3 linked regions of the Neodiprion lecontei genome follow. The protein of the gene in region 1 interacts with the protein of each later gene in a pairwise test. Links are inferred from orthologs where the notes say so. Each region holds a gene or a part of one and is shown in the gene's direction. Other genes may lie near its edges.

What was found.
Region 2: the proteins of TRAF3-interacting protein 1 (region 1) and dystrophin, isoforms A/C/F/G/H interact in a two-hybrid assay, tested with the Homo sapiens proteins (2 studies listed by BioGRID and IntAct). The link is inferred for Neodiprion lecontei from reciprocal best matches to the Homo sapiens genes TRAF3IP1 and DMD.
Region 3: the proteins of TRAF3-interacting protein 1 (region 1) and exocyst complex component 1 interact in a two-hybrid assay, tested with the Homo sapiens proteins (2 studies listed by BioGRID and IntAct). The link is inferred for Neodiprion lecontei from reciprocal best matches to the Homo sapiens genes TRAF3IP1 and EXOC1.

Annotation. Positions count from the first base shown.
Region 1 is NC_060263.1:6,633,808-6,637,565, reverse strand, and holds the start of TRAF3-interacting protein 1, read left to right. Parts: upstream 1-1,453; 5' UTR 1,454-1,583; coding exon 1,584-1,718; intron 1,719-1,851; exon of another isoform or gene 1,852-1,852; coding exon 1,853-1,970; intron 1,971-2,058; coding exon 2,059-2,171; intron 2,172-2,260; coding exon 2,261-2,584; intron 2,585-2,832; coding exon 2,833-3,404; coding exon of another isoform or gene 3,405-3,417; intron 3,418-3,526; coding exon 3,527-3,655; intron 3,656-3,746; coding exon 3,747-3,758. Other genes in the region: zinc finger protein 2, read right to left, coding at 1-38, 507-593, 737-802, 906-921.
Region 2 is NC_060266.1:24,308,120-24,311,877, reverse strand, and holds the start of dystrophin, isoforms A/C/F/G/H, read left to right. Parts: upstream 1-1,047; 5' UTR 1,048-1,062; coding exon 1,063-1,150; intron 1,151-2,153; exon of another isoform or gene 2,154-2,345; intron 2,346-3,758. UniProt on the Homo sapiens protein: Anchors the extracellular matrix to the cytoskeleton via F-actin. Ligand for dystroglycan.
Region 3 is NC_060263.1:29,176,029-29,179,786, reverse strand, and holds the start of exocyst complex component 1, read left to right. Parts: upstream 1-1,195; coding exon 1,196-1,643; intron 1,644-1,720; coding exon 1,721-1,875; intron 1,876-1,960; coding exon 1,961-2,188; intron 2,189-2,274; coding exon 2,275-2,511; intron 2,512-2,594; coding exon 2,595-2,835; intron 2,836-2,921; coding exon 2,922-3,139; intron 3,140-3,259; coding exon 3,260-3,450; intron 3,451-3,608; coding exon 3,609-3,758.

The DNA of each region.
Region 1 (3,758 bases):
TATAATTTCAATTATATGATCAGTTTCGTCTGACCCAGCTGTAATGGAAACACATGTATTAGTATAAAAAACTTCATCTGTAACAGTAACTTACTAAGTCATTGATATTTACATTGCTCATTTAAAAAAATATCTGATCAACTTTAGTAGTAAAGAACTACTTGACAATGTTATCGAATATGGGATGCTCATCATTGTAAGTAAATCAGATTCGAAAACTACTTGTGACGTCATTCGCAAAAGCCATCTCAAATTCTAGAATCCCACTTTGTGTGACACATAGAATAACTGATATTTTTTGCATGTTTTTGAGTCAATTATTATTGAAGAATTAATTGTATCCAATTTTTTGCCTAATAACTTATTACCATTTCAAAGGAGCCGCCTTTCGTGTTATTAAATAAAAATTCTACGTCAATGTATATTATGATGTCAATGTACATTAGTACGCATGTATTGAATTATATACGTATACATAATAATTGTTTGAGGTGCTAAAAATACACTCATTTTATCCTTACACTGTCCGTTGAGTAGTTCAATCTCCTCCTGAGCATCTGCAGCCTGTATGGCATTTTCGTTTTGTGAGTCGCCTACAATAGAAATCAAACAGGTGTTGAACAGATGGTTAGTTTACCCGTCTATCGTAGAAAATTTTATTTGTATTACAGAAAAGATACGTAGTAATAGAATAACAGTATTAACAATCACTTTCGGCAACTACGCCACTACATACCAAACAATAGTTCAACAGCCTCCTCGACATTCCCTGACGGGACGGGATGTTCTATCTTTACGATTTCTGTAACAGACAACATGTATAATGGCGTGAATTCGTCGATTTAACCAAAATATACGTATGAACGAAAGGCACCGATTGGTAATCATCGGGGACGGGTAATTACCTATAACACGCGGCATGCTTTCAGTCTAACGGGAGAGAATCTCCCTGACATCCGACGCAGCGATGATCAATGGTTTTCCAGATCTCTTTACTTGCAACCTCGCACTACGATACCTGTGATCTAGACGTTGCTCAGCGTGTTTGTTTCATGTACAAAACACTTTATTATCCTAAATCTAAACAGCAATACCAGTTTGTGTTTCAGTTTGGAATAAATAATGTGTCAATATTAAAGTAAGACTGGGAAAAAATGTATAAACACGAACATTTGCCCCTGATGGAACGTCCACCTTGGGACACGACGCATTACAAAATGGCCTACATAAAGGGGCACGCCTTTGTGAAGCAAAGATTCTCAATTCCGAAGATATTTTGATGAAAATAACATGAGCCAAAAGGGAATTTTATTTTCAAATGCTATAACCATCGTTAATTTTATAAGAAATATCGTATTTTTCTTTATCGCTAAGCTTTTTTTCACAATTCAATTCGAGTTTGTAATGTTGGCTGCCCTGCGCGTGACGAGAGGAAGGCATTTCAGTGGAGGAAGATCACGTGGTTATAGATCTGATCACGTGATCCGTCGCCAACAGCAACCGATACGTATACAACATCGCCCTGTCAAATCTATTTCAACATTTGAAACGTCGTATTTTATTTCCATAATATATAATAGAAAATGACGGAAGACGTAAAGCCGGAAGTAATTAAAAAAACTCAAGATATTCTCGGGAAATATTTTAAAAAACCACCACTCACGGAAAAATTGTTAAAGAAACCACCTTTTAGATTTCTACATGATATAGTCTCATCGGTAATACTGTTAGTTAATATTACGCGCTTTTTTACATTTAATTCATTTTTCATAATTGCTCACCCTTATTTAAAATAAAAACTTTGAAATTATTCTGCTAATTTATTGTGCTTAACGTTCTTATAATGTTAAAGGTAATTAGAGAAACTGGATTTCTCGATGGTCTTTTTACAGAAGATGAATTGAATTCCGAAAATATAAAAGACAAAGACTCCAAGCTTGCGTATTTAACAAAACTGATTGACGTTGTGAGTAAGTGAAACGAAGACACAAATTATCTAGATGGTCATATTTTTCCTGATTATTCTAGATAGCTAACATAATAAGTTAAACATTTCAGAGTTGATTACTGGAAATAACCTCATGGTACGACCCAGTAAGATCATCGCTGGACATGAACCCACTCGAACCAATGAGTTACTGCAAGCGATTGGAAAAGCCCTTGACAAAAAGGTATTCACAATAATTTCTAGTTATTCGTAAAATGGTAAACCCAATGTTCAAAATGGTATCACTGTGTAATTGTTTATCTTTCACAATAGATCAGCAGCGCAGAAGCAATAGAGCACTATAAAAATAGTAATGGTAGATCTAAGGGGCCAGTGAAATCAAAACTGGTTGCTAAAGATGAGTCTAAGAAGCCAGTGTCTAGACAGTCTTCACAATCTAGAAAACCAGTGGAAAAAGAGAAGCCTCCGATTGATCAAAAGAAAAAGTCTACAAGCACCAGCAAAAATGCACCCAAAGAAGTTAAAACCCGTGCTGAGAATAGACGAGAAAAACTACACGAACAGGAAAAAGAGAATAAAGCAAAAAATAAGGGTGGGGATAAAAAAGAAAAGATCGTTGAAATTCCTTCTGCTGAGGTAAAGAGATGTTGATATAGGAGTTAGAGTAGATAATCTATTTTAGATATAGGTTGAGCGTCGTATTTTGTTTACCTTTTGTATCGTAGAGCCTTTTCTTTTTTTACTTTGATCGATAAGAAAGTATTTTCTTCCATTGTTTTGAACACCGCCATGACGATTTTATAAAAGATTTAGTCATTTGACAAACATATTATCCATAACTCTTGTAATGTCGCCCAATGATTGTATAACTAAATTATTTTTAGTCCAAGGAAGAAAAACGGCCATCTTCGGTGAGGCGACAAAGACGCTCAGCGTCAGTTCAACCCAAGGAAGATCCTTCATCACCAAGAACGTTAGACTCCCCAAAAACCAAACCTGCTTTATCAGATTCAACAAATTCACCTACTCATAAAATGACGGAATCTTCGTTGCGTAACACCAACTCGCCGATAGACAAGCAAGTAAAATCGCAACAAGGTAATAACCAAACGGAACAACCGCCTGATAGAATATCAGAACCAGAAACAAGACAATCTGCTGAAATAAGGGGAAAAACAAGCGCGAATGATGATGGTTCTCGTAGAAGCTCACATTCTGATGGTAGGACAAAGAGAAGTGCAGAAAAAAACTCAGCTCCCTTAGAAGGTGAATCGAAACCGAAATCTTCAGCTGGGAACAAAGTAAGAGAAGCAAGTAGCCTGCTGTCACCAAATCATAAATCATCGAAATCAGATACAGTACCAAACAAATTACAAAAACAGTATACGTTTGAGCATCCAGGTTCTCCACCACCAAAGCCTGCAGGTCCCCCAGACGATTCTGCAAATACAGCAATGTCAGTCTAATAAGTATATAGTTCAATATTAATGAATAGCTCGATAGTGTTTTTATAATCTGGTAATGAAACGAAAACAATGTTTGTAAAGTTTTCAAACTATTACTGTGGTTTGCTTATAGAGTTCCTGAGACGACAGTAGTGAGATCAAAAACTTCACTGCGTCCTCCCAGTGCCAGGCCAATGAGCGCTAGACCTGCAGCTCCTAGGATGCGATCAAAAACTGAATTCATTTTAAATGAAGATATAACGTAATCCTAAGGATCATTGGTTATTGATAATAAAGTAATTAGACATTAACACATATGTATTTTTTTCTAATGTGCTTTTTTTTCATTTCAGAACTCCAATGGG
Region 2 (3,758 bases), on another chromosome or scaffold:
GCGAGGTTTTATCGTGATAATTGCGAGTGTTTCAAAAGTTGAAAAAAATTAGTGCCAAGTGTAATCGCTGATTCCTATAAACTCCCTGTAGAAATCAAGCTTGTAAGTAGATATGACAGACAAAGTTGGTGTTATACATACGTATAGTTAAAAATTTGGTAATTTATGGTAAAACTGTGACATCGAATTACGATTCTTGGTATACACCGGATTCCCGGAGTCGAAAAATCCAATCTGAAAACCCAAAGTTTTTCTGATTCGTTTTTGCGATGATATAGATATATTTGCACGACGATAGTGAACGTATGAGAATTAGAATCGCGTTATAGAAATCCAGCATGAGTGAAAGGTGCGGAGATCTCTACGTAATGACTATGTAGAATCTTTATTAACTTAACTCGCTGCAAATCCAAGGTATTTACTTTAAGTAGTGTAAGATGTAAGGTTTTATCCGTGACATTTGACGGCAATAATGTAATGCCGCAAAAGCGTGAATAACGTAGAATTACGCGGACATTTCACCATTACGACCAATGCGCGTTGTATGCAAATTAATCGATTTACCGATGATTCGTACACATACACCATACACGTTAATCGCATAGCCCTATTTTTCATGCACGCAGAATTATTAATAAATCAACGAAGTTTAAAAGAAATTCCCGCCATCGATTCGAGTTCAAAGTATAATAAAAATAATGTAAGAATGCTTTTGGTAGCATCAAATGACGTCACGCACATGGAGATGTGAGTGACAATCAACATAAAACCTGCTCAGTGTTATACCTATATATGCACACCCGAGTGTATGGTCGATGACTTAATGGTTCCTGCACTTATTACATGCCTGTATATTATTTCCAGCAGTATTATTATTAAGCTTTGGGCAAACACGAGATCTTGACGATATTACGCAACACAACCAGAGGTGTATTAATCAAGCTGCCTGCAGACGACCGTTTGAACAGACGAAACGACAGGAATATGCGGGCAACTAAATGCTCCCGATATCGATCACATGCAGGTTGTTCATTTGCAGGAGCTGCCGGATACGCCGCAATCATGCTCCGAAGGGTCAGATGGGTGGTTCAAGTCGACGAAAAACCGATCGAACACGTGCCCGTCGATGACCAAATCGCCACGACGAAAGGTATTTATCATTCGTCATCTGATGATGCTTACCAGAAAACGTACAAATGCATCGTCTGTACATCTATATCTGTGTATATTTGACTGTATCAAAGAAATGGACTGTTTTTGGTTTTCAAAAATTCGAGTCGAAAATATTGTTCCAAATGGCGAAAAAAGAATGCTGTCCAAGTTTCAGCTCTTAACACTAATATTTAGAGGTGAAACTTGGACGGCATTCTTTTTTCGCCACTTGAAACGATATTTTCGACTCGAATTTTTGAAAACCAAAAACAGTCCATTTTTTTGATACAGTCTAATCTACAGGGTGACAACCCCGAAGAGTTTTGGGAGACTTTCAACGGAAAAAGTGAGAAAAATGTCCATTCCACTTGAAAAAGTTGTCAGAATTATTTTCACCGCTTCAGTGAATATGTGCACTTAATGACTGTTTTTTTTCCCTTCTGTCTTGTTCTTTAAACGAATGCACGAATTCTCACGAGGAAGTTCAATTACAAATAATGATCACACGCGAGTAATTCGTGATTAAACAAAACATCGTGATTTCTCCAGAAAAAAAACGTATAAATGTTGAGATTATCATCAAAAAATTTTTTTTTAAATTTTCAATTTCTGAAATTTTTCTTTTTAAAATAAAACAAAGTATATAAATAGTATGTATCAAAGTTATTGCGGATGAAAAAATAGACAAGGTTGATCATCGAGCGATGGGACGTGGAAAAAAATGACGTCAATCGGAAAAAAATTGATTTTTGGTGAAAAAAGTGATTAGTTGCCGGTACTGTATTATCTCTGGACTGTGTTAGGAGCAGTTAGGAGATTCAGCGTGTTGAGAAATCCCCTCCCAAGCTGCGAGACTACACATATATAGGACTCGAGGCGCACGCAAGCGGTTTCGCTCGTAGTTCGGACGGCCGCCGATAGATGGCTACCGGTCGACCGCTCGCTCGCCGATGAAGTTTTGCAATTTTTTGTATAATGCTTGGATACTTTCAGAGTGTAGTATCGCTTCTCGGCCTATGGCTAAGATCAAAGTGTAGTATCTGTTCTTATCAGCTTAATATCTGATACGCTCCCCATTGGGGAGCCAGAATATTAAACTGGTTTTTGGAATTAGACCGGATGTCTGGGGCTTGCTCCGGTCCGGTCACGGGTCGACTCGACATTGCAGTGCCGTCGAGACTGGCCCACCTTATACAATACAATCATAAATAGTAGAGACGGTAATTCGTATGAGTCGTCATCATTGAGTCAAGATTCAAGAGTATTGCTTTATACCCATGACATGACTTGTTCGATTTCGAACGTCTGCGAGACGATCACTCCTGTAGTAGTTAATTATAAGATCTTTTGCGTTTCTACGTTGTAATATACAGCAGTAAAGTAGATGGGTAGATACTTAACTACAATATAATGTCAAAGTTGGTATAAACGTTGACCTAAACGAAACGAAACGAAAACGAAAAAACTATGCATGTTTACAATTTGTTAAGAAATCATACGAAATTGACAAACTTATATTAGTGAGGGAGCTTTCGCGGTGTAGAATAACATCATTTTCACAAATTATTTATTTTCTTTTAGATTGAAATTTTGAATCAAACAAACAAAAAAAATTTTTATTTTGAAGACGTTTGTTTGATTCAAAATTTCAATCTAAAAGAAAATAAATAATTTGTGAAAATGATGTTATTCTGCACCGCGAAAGCTCCCTCACTAATATAACTTTGTCAATTGTGTTTTACGAGTTATTTTGAATTATTTTAAGCTATTCCAAAGGTTCGACGTAAAGAGTTATTCTAAAAATGCATCTTTACGTACTTCAATCGCAGTGTTAAAAATGTTTTCAATGATAAAATAGTTGCGAGAAGAAGACAGAATACAACCTATGCACACGACGTATATTTCTAGTGATTACCAAAGATAAGTCAGAACTTACAGTATTCGTGAAACTATATTATCCAATTCAACTTCTGTATTACACGTAACTTCCTCATTGAATTCCATTAATCGATTCGCGTTGAAAATTTCTACTACTGCGAATATCAACAGAAGTTGAAAAATTTCGTACGATTTCTAACAAAACTGTGAACACGCATAGTTTTTTCCAACGAATTATTGATTTTCGTCAAAAAATTCTAGTACCTTGTACATTTGTCTTACCGAAAAAATACTAATTTTCATGCAAAGTCTGCAAATTTAAAAATTGTACGAAAATTTCCCAATTTTCCTTAAAAAAAAAAAAAAAAAAAAATTCGCAGTAGATCGTAGAAATGATTTTCACCGTGGAGAACTTGACGGCGGGCAAACGGTGTAAAATATTCAAGGCCCGTTGGAACGTGGGGTATAATACGCCCGACGTCGACGCGGGTCGAATCGACTCTCTGATCGTCAGTGCGACGGCGCCTCGACGACGAACTCGCATGGCATCCCCGACGCCTGCAGGGCACTTGGCAGTTTCGCGATTTTCGCCGCCGCATGCGGTCGCCTCGTTTTCCGAAATTTCAACCCCGGCGCTGACGGGATGCGGAAATGACCGTCGATCGAGCAAATTACACAGCTTTGCATGAGACGCGCGACCCTCCTGCGACTTTCTTATCTTCCTTCGT
Region 3 (3,758 bases), about 23 Mb from region 1:
TGATTTCGTGAAAGTACGGCATGGGAAAATGTATCGATATTATATAATACAGATGCTAAAAATCCAATGAGCCTATCCGATGGCAACAATAGCGTTTCTTCCACGAGAGAAAGTTGAGTTGCATATCTGCAGGCGCTTTGGATGCTCTGACACGCTACAAGTATAATTTTGTTAATACGACTCAAAATTTCAACTGTACTATTCTCATTCAACAATCAGGCATATATTCGAAGTAAGATATAATTTGTGAATTTGGAATTTTGTGAATATAGGGCATTGAACTTTTGAGTATTTAGTTCTTTTCTAGAACTGAAAATACATTTAGTAAATAATGTATTATTCGGATTATAAAATTTCAACCACGCCAAATGCAATTTCAACCTATGCAGGTAGCAACGATAACTCAGTACATAATATCAAATTTCTGTTTCATTTTTACTTGAGAAATGCAATGAATTTGCGCCTAATAGCTGCAACACATAACGCATCAAACAAATGTAGAGCTACACGAAATAAAAAATTCTAAGCTCACGCCTGCGCTCCAGAATATAGCTAGATTCCTGTTTACGCCCTCAAAGCCTCGATGTGGGCTGTCAAATGACAGTTGCAGCCTCAAAGAACAAAAAAAATTGGTTGCAATCAATTGTGTGATGATATACGAAGCGTTGTGAAATAACTGGCAGTGTTTCAGGAGCCTGGTAACACTATCTTAATTCTTAGGTAATAAAATGTTAATTTCGAGGTTGGAATGATGATTTTCAGAAAATACACCGAGTACGTACGCATATCCGAAAGACAAGTTTCATCTATGGAATCGCTGGCACTCTTTTCAGACCACCAATCACTATTTTCCCAAGGTTTCTTATCCAACTCCAAGCAGCGCACAGTGTTGCATAAGACTCAATAATAGCACAATGATTGTGGTCAGTTCTTTGACCTACAAGTCTGTGAATCTGGTGATTCTAACCAAACTTTAAAAAACCACTCACACGAGTCATAGTTTCTCTTCTGTAAGAACATGAGCCACAACAAGCAATTTAATTTAAAGCACTCTAACCTTGTCAGTGATTCGATATATTAAATTATTCCTCACATTTCAGACGGAAGAGCTGCTAGACCGACCACAAAAGCCAGTCATCACTGATGCTTGAATAATAAAGAAAACCTGAATAATTAAATAAAATTTGTTGATGCAATGGCTGTGATAAAACATGCGCTAAAACGAGAACTGTTTGCGCCAGCCGATCAGCAATTGCTTAGTCTCTGTCATGTTTGTAAGGCTTTTAAAAAAAAAAAGACTAGCTTTTTATGTATCGTTAGAACAACTGACACCCCAGGCTCACTATTGCTTTGCCAAGTTAAAAAAAATGACAAGAATGTCTACAAGAAAAAACAGTCCTGGCCTCTGACTGATATACAAATGGTTGATGGTGTCAATATTGACTCGCTGGACCTGGAAATATACATCGATAAGGTCTATAAATGGACAGCCACCTACGCTCAAGAAAGAACAACGTTCATACGGAATTTATACACATATTCTTGTAGCATGCCGCAAAGACCTGAGTTTAAAAATATACCCAGTGATTGGATGATCGATCCTGCATCTCTTAAAGAAAGCGACAGCATTATTTTCACACCGGGTAAATAATTTTCAAACAACCTTGATGCTGTTGTTCAGAAAGATACATGTATCATTATGTATATTGAATTTTTTCAGATTTGTTGTCTCAACCTGTATCTGCAGATTATCAACCAATTACTGACAAGGAGGCTACGTATCTAGCATCGTTGATGGCAAGTTGTGACTATGCAGTCTCAGATGCAGAACGTTTTATGGAAACACTCTCTAAAGATCTATCGATATTAGATGGGGTAAGATATTCTCAATTTTTAAGGCACCAAATAATCAGTAAAGATAAAACATGTTAATAAATGTGAATATTTCTTACTTCAATAGCAAAATGTACAATCGGTCCTAGTTTCCGAGCCTCAAGTAATTCAATTAATGAATGGTATCGAGGCTGCTATTACCGAAGCATCCTTAGTAGAATCACGTCTTGCTGTCTATGACGAGGCACTTGGTAGAATCAGAGATGCAATGGCTAGAGTTGGTCAAAAAAACCAAGCCATTCATACGGCTAATCACAACGCTAGACTTCTCCTCGAACAGCTTGACGCTGTAATTGTAAGTGTGTAACTACAAGGATTCTGCCTGAGTATTCTACAATCTACAGATTTTCCCACTCACCTTTCGAATTTTTACTCAACTAGACACAACTGGATATACCAGCAGAACACCAACGCACATTGAGCGAAGCAGAACTTCCAGGAGGTAGAGAAGAGCTCGGACGAGCAGGAGTAGCTTTATTGAAAGCTACATCTGTTCCTTTACCTCCTGGTCTTGATAAATTAGGAGCTGCTTCGGAACAACGTCGGCGTCTGGACAAACTTAGAGCTAAATTCTCTTTGATTGTAGCCAGGCATCTGAACAATCTATTCATACACTTGGTTTGTCTCTATTTTCTCTTTCTTGCCGTATATTGCTTTAGGCAATAGTCTGTAACCATTATCTTACTTGACTTGATTTTCAGGGCAATGACACAGGCGAAGCCTCAACCTCGACAACAGATCTTACGCTGCCTACGCATCAAGCTGTACATCGTGAACTAGAACCATACACCGAATTGATGAGATTACTCAGAGCTTTGGATAACAAAGCATTCACTCAATTAACAAAAGTGTACACTGGCACCATGAGCAAATTATACCAGAGAGACCTAAAGCTATTTTTTGAGGAAGCAAAAACTCGCGTTACTAGCAAAAAACTTAATGGTGGGTATATATAACCTTACATAAATTCAGCCATAGTATATACGCAAAAGTAAACATTTTGTTGTGCATCTTACATATATTCACAGCCAATACATCGAAATCTAGTGGACAAAAAGGGGATGACTTGGTTAGTCCAGCGCCTCTTTGTCTCTTGGGTGGGGAGGTTTGGGCTCCTCAAGGAGAGGGAGCCCTCTTAGATTCTGTTCTAGATAGAGCTCTTTCTCAATTGCAGCCTGTCTGTCTCGCTGAACAAGCTTTTTGCGTTTCGTTTTTCCAGCTTGACTCGGTTCTGTCGCCCGTGAAGGTACAAAATATTTCTTTACTTACATTTCGTTGAATCACAGGTATATCGTTAGTTGCTTCTATTAGTTATAATATAGCAATTGATCAGTATATAATGCGTGAGGTGATTAATTGTTAAAAGGGAACTGAAGCGGACGAGACTGATAGTATTAGCAATGGAGCAACAAGTCCCGGATCAGCAAATTCTACTGCCAGTAAAAAGTTGGAAAGACAAGTTAACGAAGAAGTTAGAGCTACAATGGCTGCAATATTTCCATCCCTTGAGCCTGAATTGAACAATTTTATATCATATTTGGATAAAATAGACAGCTTGTAAGTTATTAGATTTCCGTTATCCTTAGCATTAATATTTCTGTCAAATAACTATAATTTACCCGACAATTCATTATCAGTTACGTTTGTAGTAAGAAAAATATTACTGTCCAACAACTTTAATAACAATAACAGCAAGTGAAACATTTTTTTTCCAGTTGGTGTTTATATGTACTAGTGCGGCTCTCACAGCACGTAATGTCAGCGCAGGATACGGGATCTTTTCTTTCAATGACATTTGCATCTGCACTTGTACAGGTGAAGAGATCGTTTGATAAATTTATGCAGGCGCAACTACAGTCTATCTT